Macaca mulatta: one gene and its partners. The protein of the gene in region 2 interacts with the protein of the main gene of each other region in a pairwise test. Links are inferred from orthologs where the notes say so. Each region holds a gene or a part of one and is shown on either strand. Other genes may lie near its edges.

Region 1 (4,009 bases), about 43 Mb from region 2:
GTCAGATACGGTTTCACTTCCTCTGGGAGGGAGGTGCTGTTATTAAGCCCATTTTACAGATAAAGAAACTGAGACACAGGGAGGTAAAGTCACTTTGTTCAAGATCACTCAAGTGGAAGATGGGGGGTTCTGGGTTTCCAACCCAGGCCATCTCATGACAGTCTGCCAAGTCCCCTTGACTATCCCTCCCTTACCAACTTCACATCCCTGCCCCCAAATCCGCGGAGGTACTCACTGTTAACCGGCTTGGAAGCCCCCTGCAAAGCACTTAAGCTGCTCCTGGGTGCTTCTTATTTCTGGCGGACCCCGAGCCTGTTCTTCGTCCATATCTGGGCCTCGTTACACCAGTCTGGGAAAGGAGGCTTGTACTGGGGGTTCCTAGAAGGGCAGCCTCTCCCCCTTTCCATCCCGAAGTCCCTCTGCCTCTGTCTTCCCAGGACTGGGGAACCCGATGAAGAGGAGGGAACTTTCCGCAGCTCCATCCGCCGTGAGTCTGGGGAGACTGCGGGTATTTTGGGGAGAGGGCTGGTTCCAAGGACCCCTTTTCCTGGCCCTCCCCGGCTGCGTAGAGGGAGGGGCTGGATCTGAAAGCAGAGGGCGGGGAGTTGCCCCGCCTGCCCAGGAGCTGGGGATGCCCCTCCTGATGACCCCCGATCTCCGTGTTCCCCCCAGGTCTGTCCACCCGCAGGCGGTAGAAACACCTGGCGCGATGGAATCCGGCCAGGTGCTGCAGCTCTGACACGGCGGTGGAAGGGAAGGAGGGAGGAAGGAAAGGCGGGAGAGGGAAGGGGCCAAGTGCCAGGGTTGGAGGGCGGCGAGGGGTGGTGCTGGACTTCCCCCCTCGCCTTTCACTCACCCTTTTCACCCCACAGGACTCCCCTGGCACCTGACGTCTCCCACGCTCCACCTGCGCGCCCACCGCCCCCTCCGCCGCCCCTTCCCCAGCCCTGCCCCGGCAGACTCCCCCTGCCGCCCAGACTTCCAATAAAACGTGCGTTCCTCTCGACAGCACTTTGTCGGTCTCGGTCCCTCAGCGCGAAAGCCCAGCGCCCCTGGGCCCCAGCAGGGGGCGCCCCACCCTAGAGGAAGGGGCGGGGACGACGGTGGTGGGCGGGGGCGGGGGCGGGGGTGGCCTGCACGGGGGCGGGCTCCCCGGGCCCCCATTGGCTGCAGGCCCCCCCACGCCAGGGCTCCCCCCAGCTCCCCCCCATATCGGTCCGTCCTGCTTCCAGCTGCTGCAGCGCGCCTTCGCCGCCAAAGCATCCAGCAGCCCCCTGCTCCGGCCCAGCATGGCGACCCCGACCCAGACCCCCACAAAGGGTGAGCGTCGTCTGGGGAGGGGGTTGCAGGGGGGCTCCGGGATCTGAGAGCCTAGGAGAGAGGGTGTCGGGAGATTCCAGCAATGGTAAGGCAGGGGAGTGGGGGGAGGGAGGTCTGCTCCTTCTGTGGGCGGAGGCCCCTGTAATGCAGCCCCCCGATCGCCCCTCCGGGTCTCTGGGACACCCCCTCCCCGGCGGGTGTCCTGTGCCAGACCTGCGGTTGGAGAGTGGCAGTCCCGGGAGAAGGGATGCTCGGACAGGTCGCTATGGCAACCGGGTGGCTGGTCCCGCACCGTGGTGGTAGCAGACGGGAAGAGATGAGCTTGCAGGGTGGGAGCGGGTGGGTCTGCGGCCAGAGACGTTCTGGAAGATTTCAGGGTCCCTGGGGTGGGCAAGGGAAGGGGAGGAGGTTCATGTCCCTCTTCTTTCCAGTGCTGTCTCCTAGGGTGTGTGTTTCCTGAAACCCTTGACAGCCAGGTTCAGAGGAAAGGAGTGAGAGCTGAAGGAAGAGACAGCGAGAAGGGATATAGCAAGAGATGGACAGGGAGAACCTGGAAGAGACAGAGACCGAGAGGCAGGAGATCCAGAGTCACAGATACAAAGACCCAGGAAGACAAATAGATGGACTCAGAGAGATTCCCAGTGGAGGCGAGTGGCAAAGAACGGTAGACAGAGATGCAGAGAGAGAGAGAGAAAATGAGAGCCTGGGAGATAGCGGGAATGAGACTGCTATGGAGAGAGAAGCAGAGAGACGGAGGGAGAGAGACGGACCCATGGGGAAAGAGGGGAATAGAAAGAGAAGGAAGCAGTGTGGGGTGGGGCCCAAACCACTGCAGTGAACCCCCATGGGTGGGAATGGGGTGATGGGACCCTCCTTCCCAGCCCACAGCAGGGGTGTTTTCCAGTCCCAGAGGTGTACCTGGGTATGCACCTAACTGCCCCTACTGCCCCCATCCAGCCGCACACTGATTTCCATTCCACACCCATTAACCCAGTTATGCACCCAGTTGAACACCCACTTCCACCGTTGCCCCCTAATAGCCCCCATTGCTAAGCCTGCTTCTGCAGAGGAGCAAGGCACAGACTGCTTCAAGAGGGAGCGGGTGCCCAGCTAGGGTCTCCAGCACTGAGGGCAGGGGATGGACCAGGGGTGTTGAGAAGCCCCTGGCCGTGAAGGGAACCCCAATTCTGCTTGGATGACTCCCTCCCTTCCGTGCTTCCCAGAAGGCGGGGGCTGCTGCACTGAGCCATATCTGCAGAATCCGAAGCAGGGCGGGGGGTGGGGGGGGCTGCAGAGGCTGGAAGCCACCCTGGGGAGAGGGGGCAGGGCTGAGGCAGCAGGCCTGGCGGGAGCCCAGGGCTTCTTTTTGCAGAGGTGGTGGTTAACAGGATCGATGGCAGCAGACGGGCAGAGGTGGGAGGACAGACTCCTCAACCCCACCTCCTCTGCCTCCCCCTTTCCCAGTCACAGCATGAGAGGGGACCGCGGGTCTCGGGAAATCCCGGGGGAGGAAAAGCATGTTGTGCATTGCAAACTGCTTAAGGAAACTAATTAATGAATTGTTGGGGAGCGAGGGGGGAAGAAGGGAGATTGTCTCCCTCCGCCCTGCCAGAGAACGGGCGGGAGAATTAGGGGTGAACAGAAGAGGGATGCATGAGCACAGCTGGGTCCGGGTCCCTGTCCCTGAAATGGACCCTCAGCTTGGCCAGAAGCCAGTCCTGCAGGGGCAACAGCAGGAGGTGCAAAAGGAGGGGAGAGGGTCAAGATTGAAACCCGCATCTTACACAGGACCTCACAAGGGACCCCACCCAGCCTGGGATGCCGGGACCTATCACCTCTCTTCACCTCACGAGATGCCCCAGTTACCATAGCAACCACCTCCTTCCTGATATCTCCTTGGCAGCTGTCCAGGAGTAGTGCACATTCCTTTGCCTGACTCCTGGCCCCACCCTTAGCCCAGCCACGCCTGGGGGCCCAGGTTGCTGGGGCAGCAGGGACCAGAGGAGGATCTCCTGCATGGAACACCAGATTCTGGGACAGGTGCTCACCCAGTGGGCTCCTGATAACTTTGGGGAAGGGCAGGTGTGTGGAAAAGACTAGTGAGACAATCCACCTTTTGCAGCCTCCTGCAGCCTAGGACCGCCTCATAATCATTCCTTCATTCATTCATCCGAGAAAACTTGGAGAGCCTTTCATAAATGTCAGGATGAACAGCAGCGATGAGTCAAACAAATTTACTCACTCTCTGGTGGGGAAACTTACACAGAGCACAAGGGACCCTGAGGCAGTGTTTCACCATCTTGGTGCTTTTGAGTATTACCGTCACAATTTTCACTTTATTCAAATACTCCTCACACTGCTATTTATTTAATTTTTTTCCTTCAAATGATTAGCTTTTTTACTTTTATTTTTTGAGACAGGGTCTCGCTCTGTCACCCAGGCTGGAGTGCAATGCTGCGATCACAGCTCACTGCAGCCTCAAAGTCCTGGGCTCAATCTATCCTCCCACATCAACCTCCCGAGTAGCTGGGACTACAAGGCACTCCCCGCTACACCCAGCTAATTTTTGTATTTTTTGTAGAGACAGGTTTTGCCATGTTTCCCAGGCTGGTCTCAAACTCCTGGGCTCAAGCAATTCACCTGCCTTGGCCTCCCAAAGTGCTTAGGATTACAGGCGTGGGCCACCATG
Region 2 (3,500 bases):
CTGGCGTCCCCATGGGGCCGCACACGAGGCCTCAAAGCCCAGAGCGGGCTGAGAGGAGGGAGCGGGCCGGCTCAGGGTCACAGGAAACGCGTGGATGTGGTCTTGGCCCCGCTTTCTGGCACAGGGCATCGAGGACCCTGGGAACTCAGTGACAGACGTGTCTCCTGTCGTCCACAAGCAGCCCCTGACTCCCACCTGAGTCTTCACTACTGAGATGACTTGGGGCCCCTAGAGAGCCCAGAAGGAGGCAGGTCCTGGGGAGACTGGGCAGGTGAACAGGATCCTCCCCAGCCTCCGGGGAGACCCAGTCCCACGAACTTTAAGCAAGGGCGTTCACAGAAGCAGGCGAATGAACTGCTTCTCATGCTGGGAGGGTGGCACCAGCGGCACGGGGCACAGGCTCCTGCCCCGGGGACCCTCCTGGCCTCGCCCTCAGACCCCTCCTGTGTCCTTCATCATAAACCAGGTGCTTCCCTGAGCTCTGTGAGCCGCCCCAGCAAACAATGGAGCCCGAGTAGGGGCCACGGGAACCCCAGTGGACAGCCAGTCGGGAGAAGCAAGGGGCCCGGGGATCTCCGAGTGGCACGTGATGCAGGGCGTCTGTGGGGCTGAGCCTGCGACCTGTAGGGGCTACGTTGGCTCCGAACGGCTAGTGTCAGAGCTGAACTGAACTGTGGGGGGAGAATCGGTTGTGGGTGGGGGAAAAAGCCACACAAGAGAGGAAGCAGGAGCAGGAGAGGAGGAGCCCCGAGAGACTGGAAACATGCGACAGGCACTCACCCCATCCTGCCGTAGGCCTTGCTGTAGGCGGGGTCGATGCAGATGGCCCGCTCACAGTCCTGCACCGCGCCTGCATAGTTGCCGAGTTTGCTGTAGGCAGCAGCTCTGGGGAAGAAAGGCAGGGCAGGTCCCTCACTGGCGGCTCTGAGCCCAGCAGGCAGCCCTGGAGGGGAGCCTGAGAGCTGCGTTCCTCTTCCGCTTCCTGGAGGAACGGCCTCAGGTTCCCCCTCTGTAAAATAGGGCTGACGGCGAAAGCTGAGAGGTGCAGCCACTGAGATGCTCTTAGACAGATGCGCGCTCAAGGCACCAACAGCCACTTGGGACTGCGACTCTGAATTTTATTTGCAAAAACTGTTCCAATCCATGGCTGCACAAGAGCAATGAGTGTGGGAACTTACACCCAAGTTTCGTTGACAAATTATTTACGTATCAGTAAAAAAAGAACTCAGACCAATGTCAAAGCTCAAAGCTCTTGGCTTACAGCATCTGAATCGTCTTCACCATTTTCGTGTTTAGTGTTTCTCTTTACGACTTTTTCAAAGTACGGAGAAGCGTAAGTGGAGAATAAACTACCCCGTGACAAGCGGCCAGGGACCCTGCACTCCCTCTGCAACTGTTCTGCAAGCCTGAAGCAGATCCCAGACCACACGTTCAAAAAAACCTCAACCCTCCACATACCGGATTATTTTCTTGGCTTGACATCCACGTGGAACGCCGTGACACCTGATTTTGTATGTATGTGTGTATGTACGTACGTATGTATGTATGTATGTACGTATGTATTTATTTTTGAAACAGGGTTTTGCTCTGCTGCCCAGGCTGGAGTGCAGTGACACGATCTCAGCTCACTGCAAGCTCCGCTTCCCGGGTTCAAGTGATTCTCCTGCCTCAGTCTCCCAGTTAGCTGGGATTACAGGCGTGCGCCACCACGTCCAGCTAATTTTTTTTTTTCGGGTTTTTTTGGAGACAGAGTCTCCAGGGTGGGGTGCAGTGGCGCAATCTTGGCTCACTGCAACCTCTGCCTCCTAGGTTCAAGTCATTCTCATACCTCAGCCTCTCAAGTAGCTGGGATTACAGGTGTACACCACCACGCCCGGCTAATTTTGTATTTTTAGTAAAGACATGGTTTCACCATGTTGGACAGGCTGGTCTCAAACTCTCGATCTCAAGTAATCCACCCGCCTCGGCCTCCCAAAGTGCTGGGATTACAGGCGTGAGCCACTGTGCCCGGCCCCCAGACTAGTTTTTACGTTTTCTGTGGAGACAGGGGTCTTGATATGTTGCCCAGGCTGGTCCCCAACTCCCAGCCTCAAGTGATCTTCCCCCCGTGGCCTCCCAGAGTGCTGGGCGAGCCACCTGATCTTAACGTCAGCGTCGACTCTCCCTGACCCCCTTGCTGGCCGCCTGATGCTTGCTCTGGGTCTGGGACCGCCGGTGAACGGATCCCTTATCTAGAGCGCAGAGGCCTCTCCCATCTCAGGCCCCTGCCAAGCATCCCGGAGGGCGCCCCGCACACGGCCGCCCCCGCCCTGGGCAGGCCCCGAGCTGGCACCTGTTGCAGAAATAGACGGCGTTGGCTGGGTTGAGCTCGATGGCTTTTCCGTAGAAATGCACGGCAGCTTCGAAGTTCTCCACTTTCATCTGCTCGTTTCCTACAGGGAGAGGGGGAAACACTGGCCCGGGCGTCCAGACAGACCCGCGGGGGCTCTCGGCCTCACACCGGGTTCTTCGGGGCACCTAGGGCTCAACACAGCCGTGGGCAGGAGGCGTCTGCATCTGTGGGGGGTTCACTAATCACAAACGGTCATCTCTACACCCACTAAGGGGGATGGAGGTGGGGCCGGCAGGGCCTGGCCTGGCGATGGATGGTGGCTCTCGCTGCCTGGATGGTGACCCCTGGGAACAGAACTGTTAATACAGCCCATCGGCCCAGGGATCGAAACTGTCCCTTTTGCCATTTCTTTTGGAAAGAGCCCAAGCGGAGGCCTGAATTTTAGAAAACTCCTGATACCTTCTAATTTCATAGCAATGTGGCTTCTATCTAAGGCATGGGTCCCAGCTGGCAGGACAGTAAAAAGCCCGGCTGCTATCCTAGAACCAACTGAGAGCTCTGAAGACAGAAACCCGCTCCCACCCCCGAGATCCCAATTCAGGAGGGTGTTGGGGGAAGACTGGTACCAGCGTGTTTCCTTAAACAGTTTTACTGAGATATAATTTACAGGCCACAAAGCTTATGCTTTAAAAATATAAGGCCAGGCGCGGTGGCTCGTGCCTATACTCCCAGCACTTTGGGAGGCCGAGGCAGGTGGATCGCGAGATCAGGAGATCGAGACCATCCTGGCCAACACGGTGAAACCCGTCTCTACTAAAAATAGAAAAATTAGCCAGGCGTGGTGGCGCGCGTCTGTAGTCCCAGCTACTCGGGAGGCTGAGGCAGGAGAATCACTTGAACCAGAGAGTCAGAGGTTGCGGTGAGCCAAGATTGCACCACTGCACTCCAGCCTGGGCAACAGAGAGACACTCGGTCTCAAAAAGAAAGAAAGAAAGAAATGGGATCACACGCTGTGTGTCCTTTTGTGTCTGGCGTCTCTCCCTGAGCGTGATGTCCTCATGGTGCATCTGCACTGGGGCCTGGGTCAGAGCCTCACCCATCCACATTCCACTGTGTGGACGGGCCACACTGCACTGACTATTTATTGTGGACAAGCATTTAAGCTGTT
Region 3 (3,500 bases), on a different chromosome or scaffold from region 2:
AACCAGGTGGGAGGAAGTGCTGGGCCCAGGGGAGGTGTCTCTGGCTTGCCATCTGAAAGCCGGTGCATGAACGTGAACTTGAGGGCAGTTCAAAAAGTGCTTGGCTCAGTGTTGATGTTACAGAGACAGAAAAAATGGGTAGATGCAAGTCCTGCCCTCGAGTTTCCTGTGTCATTAAAATTTAGACTGGTAGGCACACCATCTGTGTCACTATTAGTTCAATGTGTAGTTAGGTTTGGCTTAATCTGGGAAGGCTTCTTGTAGGTGACATTTGGGTTGTTTTCATGGTAGAACAAGGTTGTGCTGTGGCTGCTAGAAATCCTGGGAAAGCTGGATTTGAGGGATGCTGTATCCTGAGGTAAGGGGCAGAGCCTGTAGCATTGTAGGTTTGAGGCCTTTGTTTTTCTGCTGTGAGCAGGGCATGGGGATAACTGGGGAGAGTGAGGGCTGGGGAGAAATGACACCCTCTCTGTCACAGACATGGCTGGGCTCCCTGCTGTTGTTGGTCTGTCTCCTGGCGAGCAGGAGTATCACCGAGGAGGTGTCGGAGTACTGTAGCCACATGATTGGGAGTGGACACCTGCAGTCTCTGCAGCGGCTGGTGAGTGCGTGGCCATGCTGTATTCTACCTTCTCTCCACTGGGGAAATGGAGGCAGGAGCCAGGGAGCAGGTCAAAGAGAGCAGTTGCAGGCAGGAAAATAGGGCAGTGCAGGACATTGCTTGTGGTTCCCACTAGCTCCACCAGTGATGTCCTTCACTAGCCTTCCCAAAGTTAGGACCTCTGGTCTCCCCAGCTCTGAAGCCCTCTCTGACTCCCCTGCAGGCAGTGGATGGGGTGGGCTTCCAGCTGCTTGCCTGGGTTAGTGATTGCCCAGGAATATCAACCACTAATTCTGAAAAGGCTTCTGAGGTCTGCTGTCCCTCAGTGGGATGCCTCCTCTGGGAAGCTAGCCCAGGCAGCCTGCTGTGTCCAGATGTTGCGTCTAGCTCCTGGACTCTCATGTGTGGCGCCAGTCTGGCATCAGAGCCCCACCCAGATTTGGAGGGGAAGTGCTCACTTAACTCCCAGCCTTCCACCCTCACTTCCCTGGCTCTTGCCCATACCCTGAGGCTGGGATGGCCTGCTCGTCTAGGCCATGAAGGAGCCCGTATCTCATTCTAATCAGGCCCATACGTGGTCCACCCAGGCAGAATCAGGTTGCTGTCATGGCTGCCGTCCTGCTCACTGGGAATTTACCATCCCTCTGGCCAGCTAGGCAGGGTGGGGCCTCACTGGCTAAGGCCAGCTCCAGGGCCCTGAGCTTGGGGCCTGTGGGCTATGCCTTCCACCTCTCTTGCCCTAGCGCTACTTCTCCTGCATGTAGTTGCTGTAGCAATCCAAGGTAGACCAAGAGCCCCAGCATTCTCTGAGGCTTAAAACCCAGAACTGCTGCTCTGGGGCTAAAGAGGGCTTTAAGGGCATCCAGCTCCAACGCCTACAGATGTTCAGTCCCCAGAGCTTGTCCAGCCTCTGCTTGAATTCCTGCCATGACAGGGTGCTCACTACCTCCCAGGGAAGATTATATCCTATATTCTCCTATAGACATTTCTTTCTTAAAACAAATGGGCATTTGTCAGATTTCCTGGGGTGGCAGATGGAAGGAAAAGACTTGTTCTTCTACAGCCTTCCCCTGGGCATATGGAAGGCACTGATCTTCTCCTAGACTTGACTGTCTTTCCACATGTGGTTGGCAGGGATGAAGTTCAAACCCCAATGTATTCAGAAGTTAAGGTCCCCGTTCTGAAGAAGGCTGAGTTGAGCTGTAGGTTGCCCTGCAATCATTGGCCTGCTCTCTCTTACAGATTGACAGTCAGATGGAGACCTCGTGCCAAATTACCTTTGAGTTTGTAGACCAGGAACAGTTGGTGAGTGATAGCTGTTTACAAAATCCATGTACCAGTCTGCATGCAACTCCCAGGGTGGGGTGTGTGTGGGAACATGAAGGCAGCAGAATGCCTACAGCTGGAAAGGTTGAGAGTGTGAGGATCCACGGGTGCTCAACTCTGGGGTGCCAGTATCCAGGGCTCAAGTCCCCTGCCATTCCCTTCTCCTGGCTTGATACATAACAAACGCTCACTAGGTACCAAGCACTTTGCTAATTTAGTTCTGACAGTACCACTATGTGGTACACAAATACTGTTTATTATCCACAGAGAGGTGAAAGGAGCATAGCTAGTAGGTGGTAGAGGCCTGATTTGAATCCAGGAAGGTTGGTTGTAGGGCTTGAGGCAAATCAATACTTCTTCCAGGTCACATGCTTCGCTTAAGGATGTCACTTCTTTTCACTAGGCCAACCAGCAGGCAGGGAGGCAGTCCAGCCCTTCCTGGACTTGCCCCACACCCAGCAAGCCACCAAGTGCTGCTGGTTCTGCCTCTCAGCATCTCTGGGTTCTGTCTCCTCCATCCCTACCTTCACCCCTCAATCAGTTGCTTGGACAATTTCAGGAGCCTCCTAACTGGTCTCCCTGCTTTTAGTTCACTCTTCATCTTACCACTAGGGGGAATTTTCTGAAACGCCAACCTGCTGCCTTTACCTCACTCTCCCAAAACCATCAGGGGCCCCATCACTCCAGAAGAAAGCCAAGGTTGTCTAGCCTGGGTTACACCAGGTCTAGCCATTCTCCACCACATAAACCTGTACACCGCCTCTCCATTCCCTGCTCCTTCCTGCCTCCCATCTTTGCACAAGCTCTTCCCAATGACTGTCATGCCTTTCCACCTGCTCCCCCAGTCACTATTCCACATCTGTTCATCTTTATGCCTCATGCAAAACTGCCATGGTATCCAGAAGTTGCCCCTGTCTCTGAGCTTCCACACACCAGACCCATATGCACCTCTGTTAGTACTGGAGACCACCTCATGGTCCAAAGAATAGCCTCAGTATTTTATAGCCTCACTCACTCGCTTGCTCTAGCATTCATGCCTGAACTAGCATTTGCTAGGAACCTACTGGACTAGATGCTGGGGGTAGGGAGCTAAAGCAGAGTGGGTCTTCAAGGCAACTACCATCTCTTTAGGGAGACAAAACACAGAGGTTATCCTTTGTACCATGAGATAGTCTTCACCCCCCCTATATCCTGGAGGATTTGAAGGGGCCATATGGTAAAAGATTTTTGTGAAAGGAAGCCAAGAGGAAGACAGAAAGAAAGGCAGGGGGAGGTTCCCTGGAGCCCACCTTCCCTATGTACATCCATCCTGATTAAAACCTCATATTCCAGAAACCCAGAGAACTCTCTAATCAGAATCCACATTTCCTTCACTCTAACCCAGTCTCCAATAGTGCTAGATCCCAAAGAGAGAGAAAGACAGGCAAGCTGAGGGCAGCTTTCTCCTCGTTGCTGGCATGGTGTGGTCCCTCCCCTGGGGGAAGGGGGAGAGCAAGCTGCAACCCTCCATCTGCCTGGGGTTGGGGGTTCCCAGGCCACAATGGCCAGGCTATAAGCCTCAGGTTCCTGTTTT
Region 4 (3,500 bases), on a different chromosome or scaffold from region 2:
AGTCAGGCCCTCCTGCCGGGCACACTCAGCCACACCTGAGCAGCCCTGGGGTGCCCGGTACTTGGGCCTCAACAGCTCTGCCCAGGATGGCAGGGGGTCATGGCTGTCCTTAGCCCCTTCCCTCCACCGAGGTTGCTTCTGCTTTTCTCCAGAGGAGTGGAAGCTACCACTTTTCCTTGGGGGTTCCTTCAGGCCCTGTCGCTTGCCCTCCTTCTTGCTCCCCCACTCCACCCTTGGCCTGCCCTCCTTCCACCTTTCTGCCAGCTCCCTGTCCTCCTGACCTCCCCTATTCTTCTTCCGTTCCCGGCCAGATTCTTCCTTCTTATGGTTCCAGTGCTCAGCTTTCCGGTCCCTCTGCCCATCCCACCACTTTTCCTTTCCACTCCACTCCCTGGAATTCTGGAAGTGGGGCTTCTGGTGCCAGGCCTCTGAGGCATTGGCAGAGACCCCAGGGTCCTGGCCCCAGTTCTCCAGGCTCTGCAGTTTCTGGGCCAATCTGTGACCCAGCTCAGCCAAGCCAGCGTGAGCTGGGTCCCCATGGCCGGCATCCTTCAAGCTCCTCTCCAGGTCCTGCTGTACAGACCCCAGCAGCCGTCGCTGCCTCTCCAACTCTTGCCTTAATGCCTGTGCCTCAGCCTCCAGCTGTTCCTTCTGCTTCAGGAAGCTGAGTTCTGGCTCCTGCTCCCTGGGGCCTTGCTCCTTGATGGCCTTGTCACCCTGTGGGCCTCTACCCCCACTGAGGCACACTCCATCCATGCCCCGGACACAGTCGGCCTCCAGCCCCTGGAGCCGGGCCCGCAGCTGCTGCAGCTCTGACTCCAGAGCCCGCTGGAAGGCTTCGCCCTGCTGCAGAGCGCCCCGGAGCTGGGCGTTCTCCTCCTCTAGCCCTTTGGGCTGGTGCATCAGGCTCTGAAGCTCTTCCTTCTGGGCCTGGAATATGGTTTGGGATGAAGGAAGTCACAAAGAGTTCTTGTCAGGATAGCCCCAATGCTTTCTACCCCAATTCCATTCCATTATAGCGGGCAGTAGCCTGAGCCCCTTTTATGGCCTGGAACACCCAGAGGATTTGGTTTTCATCCTCTACCCCATCTCCATCATGAATGAGACACAGGGATCCCCAAATTCCATCTTGGGTCTCGGCACATATATATGTATATATGTCTTTATATAAGCACACACTTCCTAGATTCACCTAAGGATAGCCAATGTGTGGCTCTCACGGTTTTGTTTCCACTTCCTATACCTGGAACAGTGTTAACTGATCATGGCACTTGGCATGTTCTTTAAATCCTTTTCCACACAGTGCTCCAGGCAGACTACACCAGTCAATCACAGGTGATACCATGTATGTTTCACGTACCATGTGGAACAGGTATGCCAGCCCTGGACCAAACCTTAGCACAAGGGATGTGAACCCAGAACTGGGAAAATGCCCTGACTATAGTGGGAGAGGGGAGGGTCAGGATGTGTGGGTAAATAGGAAACATTCCTTTTGGGGGAGAATGCTAGGACAGACACCTGGCCTAGGTGGGTTACCCTAGCCCAGCCCCTCCTGCCTATGCCCACCTGCAGCTGGGCCTGCAGTAGCCGGATGTCCTGGTTCTCCTTGGCCAGCTTGTCCAGCAGAAGACCCATGTTCTGCAGGCTGGGGACATGGTCAGGAGGCACTGAGGACTGCAGCTGTTCCCTTAGCCCATCCTGAGGGCAGAAGAGCCTGTTATGCCATGCTACCCCACAGCCCAGGTTCTCCCCAGCCAGGCCCCACCTGCCTCTGGAGATAGTCACACATACCTGCCTGTCCCCCACAGCATCCAGCAGCTCAGGGTCTGACCCAGTGTCCGGGAGGACCTGCAGCTCCACTTCCTCCATGGGCCCTGTGGGAAAGGGAAGTCCTGAAACTGGTCCTGAGGCACACAGAGCCCATTCTCCCCACACCCTCCCATTCACACAGTCACCACTCCTGTTCAGGACCCATCCTGTGGCTGAGAGGTCTGGTGAGGTAAAGAGCCAAGGGGCACCCTGAACAGCTGACAAGGCCACTAACTGAGAAATAAATGTGAGCCCCCATCACCCCTACTCCTGACCCAGAGAACCAAAGAACACACAAAACCTCCCAGCACAGGCCAGGCCCCTCCCTACTCACCAGTCTCAGACTCTGAGAGGCCACCTAAGGATAGAGACAGAGGAGTCTGATGAGGCCCTCAGGGAGGGGTGAGGTGAAATAAGGTGAGAACATGGCAGGAGGGCAGGCAGGTGCGGAAGCCCAAAGCCCCAGCCTCAGAGGTACCACTCACCCGAGAAGAGGAGGACCCCCAGGCCCAGCAGAACCAGGGCCCCGAGGAGGCACATGTTGAGGGAGATGCCCAGCTCCCCGCCTGCACCCTCCCCCCCGGCCTGGGTCTCCACAGCCAGGGGCGCCACGGGCTGAGGTGCGCCGGCCTCCCGGCCCCGCCGTCTCCGCAGACCCTCCACGTCCACGTCGGTGTCATCCTCACTGCTGGAGCAGCGGCCCTCCTCTCTGATCCAAGCTAGGGGAAAGAACAGGGACAGGGCAGTGAGGTGACTGGAGAGACGGGAAGACACAGGGAGAGGGGGAAGCAGAGGAAGGCACAGGGAGGGAGGTCCTCAGCCCTGACCCCAGAGAGGGGCACATGAAGACCCTGCCCACTTGCCCACTTCTGCCTAGGCACTGATGACTGCCCCTGCCCAGTCTGGAGGCAGGAGACCAGTGCTGTCAATCTACAAGCTATAAAAGCCATTTTCATCCTGAAAGTATCCTCTTTCCTCAATGTGTGCCGTGCATCAAACCTCTGCAGCTATTACCATCCTCCTGGGTCCCCTCCAAACTCTCTGGCCACTCCTTCCCATTCTCCCTCCCTGGCTCTTCCCTGATCCTAAAGTCGGTGGTCTCCCTAGCACCATTTCAGGTTCTCTGCTCTTCTCACTGTACACATAGTCACAACTCTCTCACCACCACTGACACCCCGCTTCAGCAATGAGTCCTTAGTGTGTAACTCCTGACTTGACATCCCAGAGCTCCAAGCCTGTATGTCTGACTGCCTACTGGCCACTCCCTCTGGGACCAAACATTCAACACGCTGCCCTGCAAACTGGTTCTTTGCTAGTGTTTTCCCAATTCAGGGGAAGGCACCGCTGCCACCACCTAGCTAACCTAAGCCCTCCCTTTCCACCTCACATCCAATTTCACAGTTCTACACTGAAACATCTTGACAGTCCACCCCTGTTCACAACCCACACTGTACCTGCGTTAGTTCAGATCTGCATCTTCTTTCTTTTTTTTTTTTAATATTTTTAAATTTTTATTTATTTTTATTTTTTGAGACAGGGTCTGGCTCTGTCGCCCAGATTGGAGTGCAGTGGCGCGATCACAACTCACCGTAACCTCTGCCTCCCGGGCTCAAGTGATCCTCCCACCTCAGCCTTCCGAGTAGCTGGGACTATAGGCATGCATCTTTACGCCCGGCTAATTTTTTTTTTTT
Region 5 (2,475 bases), on a different chromosome or scaffold from region 2:
TCCCTCAGTTCCTGGACAAGCATCGGAGGACCAGACAGAACCCTCTGGCTACCAGCAAAGCTCGCATCCCCGCACCCTCGCGGCGTCTGCTCCAGAGCCTCCTCGCAGGCGCCTGCTGGAGCGCCTGCTGGGGATGGCGCACCACCGACTCTTGAGGCTTTTTAAAAAGTAAGAATTTCTACTTTATTATCTCTATGAAAAAAAAAAAAAGTAAAGAGGAGAGGTTAGATTCTATAGAAGCTCCCAAGTTTGCCATTTGCGAGGAGGGTTCTCTTCCCACCCACCTAGCCCACGGAAGCTCTTAGGAGCAGCCTGGACGGCCCGGACTCATCCTCTCGCGCTCTGACATCCCCGCGCGCCCCTGACCCCGACTTCACTTAGGGCGGTCGCATAGATATGAACTCTACAACAGCCACTCTGCTCGGGGACTTTAGGGATCTTACAATCTCGAAACCGACCTCCAGAAGGCCAGACGTTCTGTCTTGGGGCGTCCCTCCTGGCCCTTTAGCCTCACCCAGTACCCGGTCCTGACACACCCCAGCACTACCAGACCAGGAAGGGCAGACTCTCCCCACCCGGTTCAGCCGCTTTCCTTCTTCTCACAGCTCTCCAAGAGCTCGGTCATGAAGGAGATGTAGACGATGGCCAGGCGGAGGGTCTCGATCCGGGACAGCCTTTTCTCGTAAGCAAACGTGGGCACCTTCCTCCGCAGCTGGTCAAAGGCCTCGTTGAGGTTGAACATTCGCTTCCTTTCGCGGATGTTGGCGGCCTGGCGCTGGGCGTAGGTGATCACCCTTTTCCTCTTGGGGCGGCCTAATAGGGAGACGCCTCTCCCGCGCTCCTCTTCCTCCTCCTCTTCTCCGTCCCCCTGGTCCACTTCGCACTCCTCTTCTTCTGGGTCCCCCTCTTCAAACCGCGCCATCCTCCTGGGTCTTCCTTCTCGGAGCGCAAGGGCTGGATCCCCAAAGGAGACCCCGGGTGCGAAGTCGCAGAGGAGAGGGCGTCCCGGGGAGGCCAGGGACAGGTCTGCGACGAAGTCCAGCACCGTAGCGTCCACGCAGCTCTCTGGATAGGCCGCCATCGCTTCGGCTTGGCCCTGCCTCTCATCGGTTTTCCGCAGGGAGGGGCGAGGCTGCTGGTGGAGATTCTTAACAGCCTTGAATCTGATGGGGCACCATCACCGAAGGGCCAGGGAACATTAAATATTTATAACCGAGCTGATAACAGGATTAGTCGCACCGATAAGAAATGCTCTGACAACGTCCCTTCTCTCGAAGCTTATGGAAGATGACAAGCTTGAGCACGCATGGAAGACTCAAAGGGACAGGCCTCCAGTTCTGAGATCCTTTTCTGTGCGCCACCCGGGACAGTTCCTTGTTGGCAACAACCCCCAGCTCTTACCTGCTGTGCTTTTTGTGTCTGTCTTCACCCCTGCAGCCAACTAATGTTCTCCGGGCTCCTTATCTCGTGTAGTTCTTTAATTTCGTGTTGGATTTTCAAAGCGAGGATGTTTTCCACGGCGATGGCTTCTCCTTGACTTCAGGATAGGAGTCTTGAATCTTGCCACCATCTGCCAATGGATGTGGAGCAAGTGCATGTGCTTTTAATGATGTCCTGAAGAGGGGCCCTGCCTGCCTGGGATCGAGGGGAGCTGTTTGTCTGGTATCCCAGTGCAGCGGCTGCTGAAAGGCAAGACCTTCCATTAGCTTAAGTAAGCATGGCAGGGGGGCCGAGAGTGCATTCCCCAGAGTCGCTGTTGGAACCGGCTTTCTTTTTCTTTCCAGGGCATCGCAAACAGCTCTCCTGCCACGTTACAAACCCTTGCTTCTAAAGTCTGTTTGGATGCAATCAGCCTAACAATTGAGATACTTGACTTTCCTTTCCCTACCTTTACCTCCTGCTCATATAAAATAGAGGATTTTATTCCAAGAGGAAACGTGATGACGGCAATAAAATGACAAATTTAAGCTCAGGACATTTTCTATGCTCGGGCTTTGCTGTATACCTTTCAGTGTGGGGGACAAAGCAAACTCTCCCCACAAACAAAACCACTTCAAGCTCTTTTCAGAAATGCGATTTGCCCTTGATAAGCCAAAGAGTCAATCAGTTCACCCTCTGCTGAGGAGTCTTCGGACTTTTAAATTGCGGATCGAGTATTTGTTCCTGAACAAAGAAAAAAACCTAACACTTCCATCTGGCTTATTTTCCTCATTGATTTGTATTGTCCTACAGTAAGATTTAAGAGCAGAAACAATGACTTATTGAATTATATTTAAAGGAGCTTTTTGATTATCGTTAGATCGTTGAGATAAGAAAGAGATTTTAAATTTGGCATAATAAAAATAAGAGTTTACTCATTTTATATTTTCTCTAGTATCCCTAATATTTTAACAAAAGGGTCCTTTTTCTTTGTTTGTCAATAACTATATTTACTTAATTATTCAGTAATGTGTAAAGATTTATTTAAAAGACCCA
Region 6 (3,814 bases), on a different chromosome or scaffold from region 2:
TTACCTTGAGTGGCATTGCCTTTGAAGCCTAAAGCAAATATTTTCTTTTAAAACCTAATGGTTTTAAACTGTCTCTTCTGAAGTCTGTGAGTCAGTTCCAGTTGTTTATTACACAGCCAAATTCAGAGAGATTAAGGACACCAAAGATTTTAATGAAGAAGATGAGTTTCTTTTAGTCATAAAGATTGTTTCTATCATATCATTCCCCATGTGTTGACATGGCAACTCTGCTCTGTCTTGCTCCACAGACCTACGGGTACTTAGGAAAGTCCTGTGTTCTGTCAGCCGCTGGGCCCAGTTAATTCATGCCTGGTGCAGGCCCCAGCCCGGGGTGGACCAAGAGCCCACCCAGGTACATCACAAGTCAAGCTTCAACCTTGCAGAAGAGAATAGCAGCAGCCAGGGGTCACTGTGACTCAGTGATCAGGGAAGGATTTATACACAGTGTTATCCTATTACGGTCTATTTTGTGTAATTTAGCCAGGTATCCAATACTATTCTAGCAGGAGACATGCTTTATGTTATTTCATTGGTTTGATGTTTTTGTTTTGTTTTGTTTTATAGCCTTTAAGGTACCCAGAGTCCTCAGAGAGGCCAGATGGCAGCTGAGTTGTTTGGGATTAGTGAGTCTGCTTTGGGGCCAAGGACAGCCACCGGGAAGTCTCCAGCTGGGCCTGCTTTCTCTTCCCTGCTTCCTTCCCACCAACTCTCACCTCTGTGGAAACTCCCAAAGTCTCAGAAGTCATGATTTTTTCATTGGCTGCTGGGGTTAAAATTGAGCCACCAATGCCTTCCTACAGGGAAGGGGGAAGGTGGGGGATGAAAAAGTGAAATTCCTGCTCCTGAGCCTTACACAGGAGATTTCTTACCCGAGGGAATCTGAAACTGTTCCAGAGGAAAATTGCCTCGGGCCAGTCTAATTTTTACCAGTCTGAGACATTGCTCCCACTTCCCCTTTCCCCCTTTGAATGATCTCTGTCAGGCTGCCTGGGCACTGCTGTTGCTTCTGAAGGTCGCAACATAGAACACCACGGTTGTCAGGTAACAATGACGGAAACGCTTGCTCCCTGAGCTGAGCATTGTATTATTATATCAGAATAGTCTCTAGCGAGGGAGAGAGTATATTTCTTCGTAAGGTGGAGGAGAGAAGCAGGCACAGGCCTCCTCTTCCAGCTGTGTCTCTTCTACCTGGTCAGCATCAGGACTGGGCCTGAAATGTGAGCAGAAAACACAGGTACATTATGGTCCAAAGCACCATTCACAGAACCAAGGCTGCCATCGTGGGCAACAGGCTAAGCAGAGATTCGCAGTCTCCCAACACCTTATTCATGGACCAAACAGCCACAGATCACGATGGAGATGGCTAGAAGGAGTGCATTCCCCCAGTAGACACGCCATACCTGTGGTTTCCACCATCCGCGAAAGAAGGGCAGCCTTCATCAACCACAAATGCAGAGTTATCTTGAGGGTAGATGGTGTAGTATTGAGGAGGACTCGGCACGGCAGTTGCTGCCCCTCCAGGGGTTATGAGGCCACAGGGGCTCACCACAGACTGCAGGTAGCTGGTATTTATCCCCATAGGCTCTGGAGAACCATAAGGAGGAGGGATGTACTGCACCACAGTGGCCCCATGGAAGGTGATGGGTTGGTTGATGCCAGTGAAAACAAATGATGGTCCTCCTGGTGTCTGTTCCAAGTCCGGGACCCTTTCCTCACTTTCTTTGCACAACTGGCAGGAGAGCATTTTGAACTTGCACACAGATATCAGGATGAATGTCACCCCAACCGACAGTAGGACAGGCCCAAGGAGCTGGGTCCATTCAAAGTGGGAGACACCTTGGTATTTGATCCAGCCCATGACAGTGAATGTGATCCCCACCAGCCCCAGAAAGATGCCTGAGAAGAGCAAGGTGGCCCCAGCCTTGTCGTCATCGGACACCTGGATGTCAGCGGTGCTGGGTGTGTAAGGAGTGACGGAAAACACATTGACAGGGAAGTCCTCCAAGCGGCCGCTGCCTTGCTCCATTGCTCCTTGTGGCCTCACCCAGCTTCTTAGAGTGGAGAGGATTGTGAGAGCCAAGGAATCACAGGTCCAAATTAGTTATAGAAGAACTCAGGGCTTGTGCTTAACAGGGTGTAACACACAGAGGGCTGGACCTTGTTTAGAAGAATAAAGGTCTGAGAAATGAAGCCTGAAGTTTTCTCATGTATTGTCAACAAGTGGAGGTCTCTGTTTTGCAAGTCAATGACAAGCTGTCTCTCTAATTCACATTCATTCATTCACACATTCAAAAATTAACTTATTGAGTCCATCTTTCTTTTTCTTTTCTTTTCTTTTCTTTTTTTTTTTTTTTTTTTCTTAGAGCGTGGGTCTCACTCTGTCACCCAGCTGGAATGTAGTGGCACAATCATAGCTCACTGCAGCCTCAACCTCCTGGGTCAAGCGATCCTCCCACTTCATCCTCTCCAGTAGCCAGGACTACAGGCACACATCACAATGCTCAGCTAATTTTTAAAATTTTTTGTAGAGATAGGGTCTCATTATGTTGACCAGGCTGGTCTCAAACTCTTGGACTCAAGTGATCTTCCTGCCTTGGCCCCAGGAGGTACTCTTCTGTAGCAATTTAAGATGCTGCCATAAGACCCTGTTTTTGTCCTCCCCAACACAGATTTGTAGAAATGGCAGAGCTCCCTCAAGGGTCTCCAGCAGTGAACAGGGCCCTTGATATATCCACACATGCACAGGAGTCTAACCTGATTTTCCCAGTGGTTCAGCTCATTAGGAATAGACAGACACCTATTTCTTGACCGCATGTGTATTCCTATCTACTTCACGAACCCCTAGCTGTGATGATACTTAAACTTCAATAATAGTTCTCACAAAGCCCTAAGATCCTGTTCTTTTCTGGCCAACCCCATACGCCTTTTGCTTTCTGCATTTGGGGAGTAATTCTAGCCTTGGGAGAGGAACAACATCGTAGGAAACCTTTCTATGCACTGCATCACTGCCAGGGGTTGAATAAGCATCAGGTATGACCTGGCTCACTGGGACACATGCTTCGGACCCTCCCTCCATGGTGGCCACACAGTTCCTGGTCTCCAAGGTGAAACAACCAGCTGTGTTTTGGAGCCTGCTGTTTTCCAACCAAACACAAGTTGATGTAGAGAAGACAGTTTAATTTTCAATAACATTATCTCATTCATGACTGCAAAACTTCCAAACAGCCCCATGAGTTTCCTCCTCCACCGAATAATAACTGTAGCCTTCTTTCCTTCCTAGACAGATTTTATCCAAGCAGATGCTCTCTGCAGTAGTTAAATATTATATTAGTTCCCTTTTGCAGAATTGAGAGAGCTGCCATCTTGCCCCAAGGCAGAGCTCCCTAAACTTCCCTTGACAAAGAAATCATGTGGGCCACTTTTTTAAAGGACAAAATGTGAGCTCCCAATTCAGATCAACAGAATCAAATATCCAAGGGAAGGACCTCAGGTGATTTATCATTAAGAAATCTTAGGAAACCCTACCTCAGGTTAACCCTAAATGCTTCTAGGAGACCAGAGGACTTTCTCCCCATGAAAATCCCTCTCCCTGCTACAGGACAAGGCTTGTAATCTCCTACTTCACTGCCAAACAGATGGGAAAGCAAGCAGGTGACCCCTGAGGTATCTTACTGGATGTGCCTTAGAGCAGCAAGGCTGGAGTGGGGTTGCTATACGAACAGGCTGCCTTTTCCCACTGAGCTAGATCAGAGATCCAGGAAAGCCAGATTTTCTCTTTAACTATAAATTTCTGGTAAGTTAGCCTGACATTATT
Region 7 (4,091 bases), on a different chromosome or scaffold from region 2:
TGCGGCCGAGCGCGGTGGCTCACGCCTGTCCCAGCACTTTGGGAGGCCAAGACGGGGGCGGATCACCTGAGGTACGGAGTTCGAGACCAGCCTGACCAACAGGAAGAAACCCTGTCTCTACTAAAAATACAAAATTAGCAGGGCGTGGTGGCCCATGCGTATAACCCCAGCTACTCGGCAGGCTGAGGCAGTACTAATCGCTTGAACCCGGGGGGCGGTGGTTGCAGTGAGCCGAGATCGCGCCATCGCACTCCAGCCTGGGCAACAAGAGCGGAACTCCGTCTCAAAAAAGAAAAAAGAAAAAATTTTAATTGCAAAAATCCGAATAAGTTCTTGAAAGCTGGACTTTTCCCCTTTTTTGTGCCCTAAGCCTGCGCTGAATCTGTGCCTTCTTTGAAATGCTTTCCCGCCTTCTTTCTCGGGGTCCCACGCTACCTGGGGCTGCACTCTTCAAGCACTGGATGTTGACTAACTCGTCTCCTTATCTGTCTTCCCGAATGGCCCAGAGCTGAGTTCTTACTAATCCCGCTAACCTGTAGTTCGGTGCGCGCTGCAAAGCAGTAACAAATCCAATCAGCCCGGGAGGCAGACAGCAAGGACCGAAGAACAAGGCTGGAAAGGGAAACGTCGCACCGGCTCTGCCCAGCGGCGCCAGCCCGGGCAACCTTACACAGACGCGAAGCCACACCCCTTTCCCCAAGTACCTCCCCGCTAACTCCTCCCCCTGGCCCAGCGTCTCACACGGATTGTCTAAGTCCCCGCCCACCAGGCGTGGCCCCGCTCTGGGAGGACCGCAATCCCGCCAACAATGACTCCGCCCCTCCTTCCGCTGAGAAACCTGTCCCTTTTATTTAAAGAATACCTTTTACGTCAGCCCGCCTTACGTAGCTTTGCGTCATCAGTGCAAGGCGCGGAGGCGGGACTTCCTGTCCCTGGCATAACAGCTTCCGGGAGAAGCCGGAAGAGACCGGACCCTGAACAGAATCGCAGATTGCCAGCCCTTTTCCCGACCCCTACGGAAAGACGAGTCCAGGGGCCGTCCTGGCGAGGTCAAAACATTTAGTCTGGCCTTTTCAGGTGAGGACTTCCCCATCCAGGCACAGTGCTGGTCAAATCCCCCTTTAATTTCCCATGACTCCCCGCGTCCTCAAGCCCCGCCCCCAGTTCCCCAGCCCCGCCCCGAAGTTTGAGGGGTGTGGACGGTTTGTGACCCCCTTAGCCGACCCTACCCCTCACGGGCCGGGAGAGCTGGGCTTATCACGGAGGCCAGGGCCAGGCAGCCCTTCGGTTCAGGTGGGCCCATGGACCCCAGTCCAACGCCGCGGGAATAGGACCATCCAAACGCGAAACCTGCGCCTCAGAAAAAGGGTGCGGGACCCCTCCTCACCGTGCGGTCACGGTACGGACAGGGTAGATCACAGGCTGAGGGACAGAGTAAAGACCTCTGAGGCCGGTCACCTGGGGTCCTGCTGGACCCCTCCCCACGAGAGTTCCCTGTGTCTGTGCCAGCCGTTTTCGTCTTTCTTCGCCGCAGTTTCTTTTTCTGTAAATCATGGTTAATGACATTAACCTTCTTGCCATCAGGGATTAGTTGTGGGTGTGATAAATAATTGCTACCATTTATTGAGCAATTGCAGTTTGCACTGTGCCAGGCACTGTGCTAAGTATTTTGCTTCGATGATTTCACGTCATCTTCAAAACAACCTCATGAGGTAGGTACTGTTTTTAACCCCATTTTACTGATGAGAAAGCTGAGGCTCTGAGAAAGTTGTCTGAGGTGATATAGCTAGTAAGACGCGAGACTGGGGTTATAATTAGTTGTTGTTTTTCTAACTCCAGGGCCAGTATATTAAAAAGGATGTTGATGTGTTCCACAGATATTCTTTGAGCAACTACTGGGGCATTATATTGGACACTTCAGTACCAAGAGAAATACATACGATCCTTGTCTACCAGGAGTCTAATAGAGAGATGGAGAGGTAGATAAGTATAATGAAGTTTTATAGGTGCTGTGAGAATAGTCTGATAATGATAATCACCAGACTGGATTTGCCCAGGGACAGCTGTGAAAGCAGCAGATTCTCCAAAGGACATAGTAGGTACTCCAGGGATCAAGCAGGGACCCTTCCTGCCTTTCTAAGAAACTGCAGCAGCAGAACCTTCACAGTGAAAGAAGAGAGACTGAGATATGGATTGTGAGAGTTGTTATGGAATCTTTTTCAAATCACTTCCACGTGGGGAGTGGTCATTGCAGGAGTGGGCCCATGGTGACCCAGGAGGGTGGTGCTTCTGGTGTCTGTCCCATGTTGCTCCCCAGGGCTTGCCAGAAGTTTCAGAGGTGGCATATAATGTCTGCTGCATAGTGTCTGCTCGTGACCCCTACAGAGTTGCCCGTTTGAGGTTGTCTGACTCTGCTTTTGATGGTAGGTCAGTTTTCTTTGACTCTTGACATCTGGCAGCCTGGATCTGTGACCAGGAATGAAATAGGCTGAAATGAGACAATCCGGCAGGGATGGCTAAACAGTGCCTCTAAGCGGGCCCCGCAGTAAAATATTCCAGACTTTTGGGTCTCTCTGAAGCCACTTTGGAGGCTGCTTAGGAGACATATTTGCTTGACCAAGTGATAGGAATCCTAGAGAAACTCAGGCCTCAGCAAAGGTTTTTCCTCATTCGCCAAAAAAGCAACAACAGTAGCAGCAGCAGCAGCAAGGCTGTGGGCTTTTCCTGCTGATCCACGCTCATTGGGAAGTTGGAGTGTGAGAGAGGAAGGTCACAGAACCTGAAAGCAAGAGTTTCACAATAGAGGCAAAGGGTACGATAGGTCTTTAGCTTTACGTTGGGGTGCCAGAATTAGGAAGGTTTGTGCCCCCTTCTACAGAACACTGAACTCCTTTTGTTTTTCAGGGCTGGGTCAGTTAGAACCTAAACAAACTAGAGACCTGGTTGCAACCCCTCAGGCTCTGCTGATGCTGTCCCCCTTTGTTCCTGCAGCGTGGACCCTGCCGGCAGCCAGGCCATGGAGCTCTCTGATGTCACCCTCATTGAGGGTGTGGGTAATGAGGTGATGGTGGTGACAGGTGTGGTGGTGCTGATTCTAGCCTTGGTCCTAGCTTGGCTCTCTACCTACGTAGCAGACAGCGGTAGCAACCAGCTCCTGGGCGCCATTGTGTCAGCAGGTGACACATCCGTCCTCCACCTGGGGCATGTGGACCACCTGGTGGCAGGCCAAGGCAACCCCGAGCCAACTGAACTCCCCCATCCATCAGAGGGTAATGATGAGAAGGCTGAAGAGGCTGGTGAAGGTCGGGGAGACTCCACAGGGGAAGCTGGAGCTGGGGGTGGTATTGAACCCAGCCTTGAGCATCTCCTTGACATCCAAGGCCTGCCCAAAAGACAAGCAGGTGCAGACAGCAGCAGTCCAGAGGCCCCCCTGAGATCTGAGGATAGCACCTGCCTCCCTCCCAGCCCTGGCCTCATCACTGTACGGCTCAAATTCCTCAATGATACCGAGGAGCTGGCTGTGGCTAGGCCAGAGGATACCGTGGGTGCCCTGAAGAGGTGAGTGGCCTGGGAAGTGGGAAGCTGCTTGTGCTCATCCCCCAGCCCTTGGTTGCCTCTAAGGAGGCTGGTGCAGACGTAGGAGCTGCAGGGAAGTATAAGATCCAGCCCCTACTAAGGGCACGTAGATACTTTCTTAGAAATACACCCCTCAGGCCGGGCGCGGTGGCTCCCAGCACTTTGGGAGGCCAAGGTGGGTGCATCACAAGGTCAGGAGTTTGAGACCAGCCTGACCAATATGGTGAAACCCCATCTCTACTAATAGTAAAAAAATTAGCTGGGTGTGGTGGCACACACCTGTAATCCCAGCTACTCAGGAGGCTAAGGCAGGAGAATTGCTTGAACCTGGGAGGCAGAGGTTGTAGTGAGCTGAGATTGCGCCATTGCACACCAGCCTGGGTGACAGAGTGAGACTCAGTCTCAAAAAAACAAAACAAAACAAATACACTCTTCATTAGTTAAGGATAAAGATGAGGGAGGCTGGGCACGGTGGCTCACGCCTGTAATCCCAGCACTTTGGGCAGATCACAAGG

What was found.
Region 1: the proteins of SGTA (region 2) and FXYD7 interact in binary tests that used the Homo sapiens proteins (3 or more experiments, as listed by UniProt). The two-hybrid records come from large-scale screens. The link is inferred for Macaca mulatta from reciprocal best matches to the Homo sapiens genes SGTA and FXYD7.
Region 3: the proteins of SGTA (region 2) and CSF1 interact in binary tests that used the Homo sapiens proteins (3 or more experiments, as listed by UniProt). The two-hybrid records come from large-scale screens. The link is inferred for Macaca mulatta from reciprocal best matches to the Homo sapiens genes SGTA and CSF1.
Region 4: the proteins of SGTA (region 2) and PBXIP1 interact in binary tests that used the Homo sapiens proteins (3 or more experiments, as listed by UniProt). The two-hybrid records come from large-scale screens. The link is inferred for Macaca mulatta from reciprocal best matches to the Homo sapiens genes SGTA and PBXIP1.
Region 5: the proteins of SGTA (region 2) and FERD3L interact in binary tests that used the Homo sapiens proteins (3 or more experiments, as listed by UniProt). The two-hybrid records come from large-scale screens. The link is inferred for Macaca mulatta from reciprocal best matches to the Homo sapiens genes SGTA and FERD3L.
Region 6: the proteins of SGTA (region 2) and TMEM174 interact in binary tests that used the Homo sapiens proteins (3 or more experiments, as listed by UniProt). The two-hybrid records come from large-scale screens. The link is inferred for Macaca mulatta from reciprocal best matches to the Homo sapiens genes SGTA and TMEM174.
Region 7: the proteins of SGTA (region 2) and TMUB2 interact in binary tests that used the Homo sapiens proteins (3 or more experiments, as listed by UniProt). The two-hybrid records come from large-scale screens. The link is inferred for Macaca mulatta from reciprocal best matches to the Homo sapiens genes SGTA and TMUB2.

The regions. Positions count from the first base shown.
Region 1 is NC_133424.1:46,411,551-46,415,559, forward strand, and holds the start of FXYD7 (FXYD domain-containing ion transport regulator 7), read left to right. Parts: upstream 1-1,209; 5' UTR 1,210-1,289; coding exon 1,290-1,320; intron 1,321-4,009. Other genes in the region: FXYD1 (phospholemman), read left to right, coding at 438-487, 673-695. UniProt on the Homo sapiens protein: Associates with and regulates the activity of the sodium/potassium-transporting ATPase (NKA) which catalyzes the hydrolysis of ATP coupled with the exchange of Na(+) and K(+) ions across the plasma membrane.
Region 2 is NC_133424.1:3,534,765-3,538,264, forward strand, and holds part of SGTA (small glutamine-rich tetratricopeptide repeat-containing protein alpha), read right to left. Parts: intron 2,433-3,500; coding exon 2,333-2,432; intron 886-2,332; coding exon 781-885; intron 1-780. UniProt on the Homo sapiens protein: Co-chaperone that binds misfolded and hydrophobic patches-containing client proteins in the cytosol. Mediates their targeting to the endoplasmic reticulum but also regulates their sorting to the proteasome when targeting fails.
Region 3 is NC_133406.1:130,284,104-130,287,603, reverse strand, and holds part of CSF1 (macrophage colony-stimulating factor 1), read left to right. Parts: intron 1-478; coding exon 479-601; intron 602-1,843; coding exon 1,844-1,906; intron 1,907-3,500. UniProt on the Homo sapiens protein: Cytokine that plays an essential role in the regulation of survival, proliferation and differentiation of hematopoietic precursor cells, especially mononuclear phagocytes, such as macrophages and monocytes.
Region 4 is NC_133406.1:112,054,648-112,058,147, reverse strand, and holds part of PBXIP1 (pre-B-cell leukemia transcription factor-interacting protein 1), read right to left. Parts: intron 2,529-3,500; coding exon 2,295-2,528; coding exon of another isoform or gene 2,264-2,294; intron 2,168-2,263; coding exon 2,144-2,167; intron 1,875-2,143; coding exon 1,792-1,874; intron 1,699-1,791; coding exon 1,567-1,698; intron 931-1,566; coding exon 1-930. UniProt on the Homo sapiens protein: Regulator of pre-B-cell leukemia transcription factors (BPXs) function. Inhibits the binding of PBX1-HOX complex to DNA and blocks the transcriptional activity of E2A-PBX1.
Region 5 is NC_133408.1:109,145,727-109,148,201, reverse strand, and holds FERD3L (fer3-like protein), read right to left. Parts: upstream 1,135-2,475; 5' UTR 1,082-1,134; coding exon 581-1,081; 3' UTR 501-580; downstream 1-500. UniProt on the Homo sapiens protein: Transcription factor that binds to the E-box and functions as inhibitor of transcription. DNA binding requires dimerization with an E protein. Inhibits transcription activation by ASCL1/MASH1 by sequestering E proteins.
Region 6 is NC_133411.1:79,529,641-79,533,454, reverse strand, and holds the end of TMEM174 (transmembrane protein 174), read right to left. Parts: intron 2,181-3,814; exon of another isoform or gene 2,049-2,180; 5' UTR 2,027-2,048; coding exon 1,401-2,026; intron 1,211-1,400; coding exon 1,105-1,210; 3' UTR 501-1,104; downstream 1-500. UniProt on the Homo sapiens protein: Regulator of plasma phosphate homeostasis. Decreases serum inorganic phosphate (Pi) uptake by regulating the sodium-phosphate cotransporter SLC34A1 trafficking by PTH and FGF23 in the kidney.
Region 7 is NC_133421.1:68,558,580-68,562,670, forward strand, and holds the start of TMUB2 (transmembrane and ubiquitin-like domain-containing protein 2), read left to right. Parts: upstream 1-1,291; 5' UTR 1,292-1,677; coding exon 1,678-1,712; exon of another isoform or gene 1,713-1,877; coding exon of another isoform or gene 1,878-1,979; exon of another isoform or gene 1,980-2,991; coding exon 2,992-3,558; exon of another isoform or gene 3,559-3,903; intron 3,904-4,091.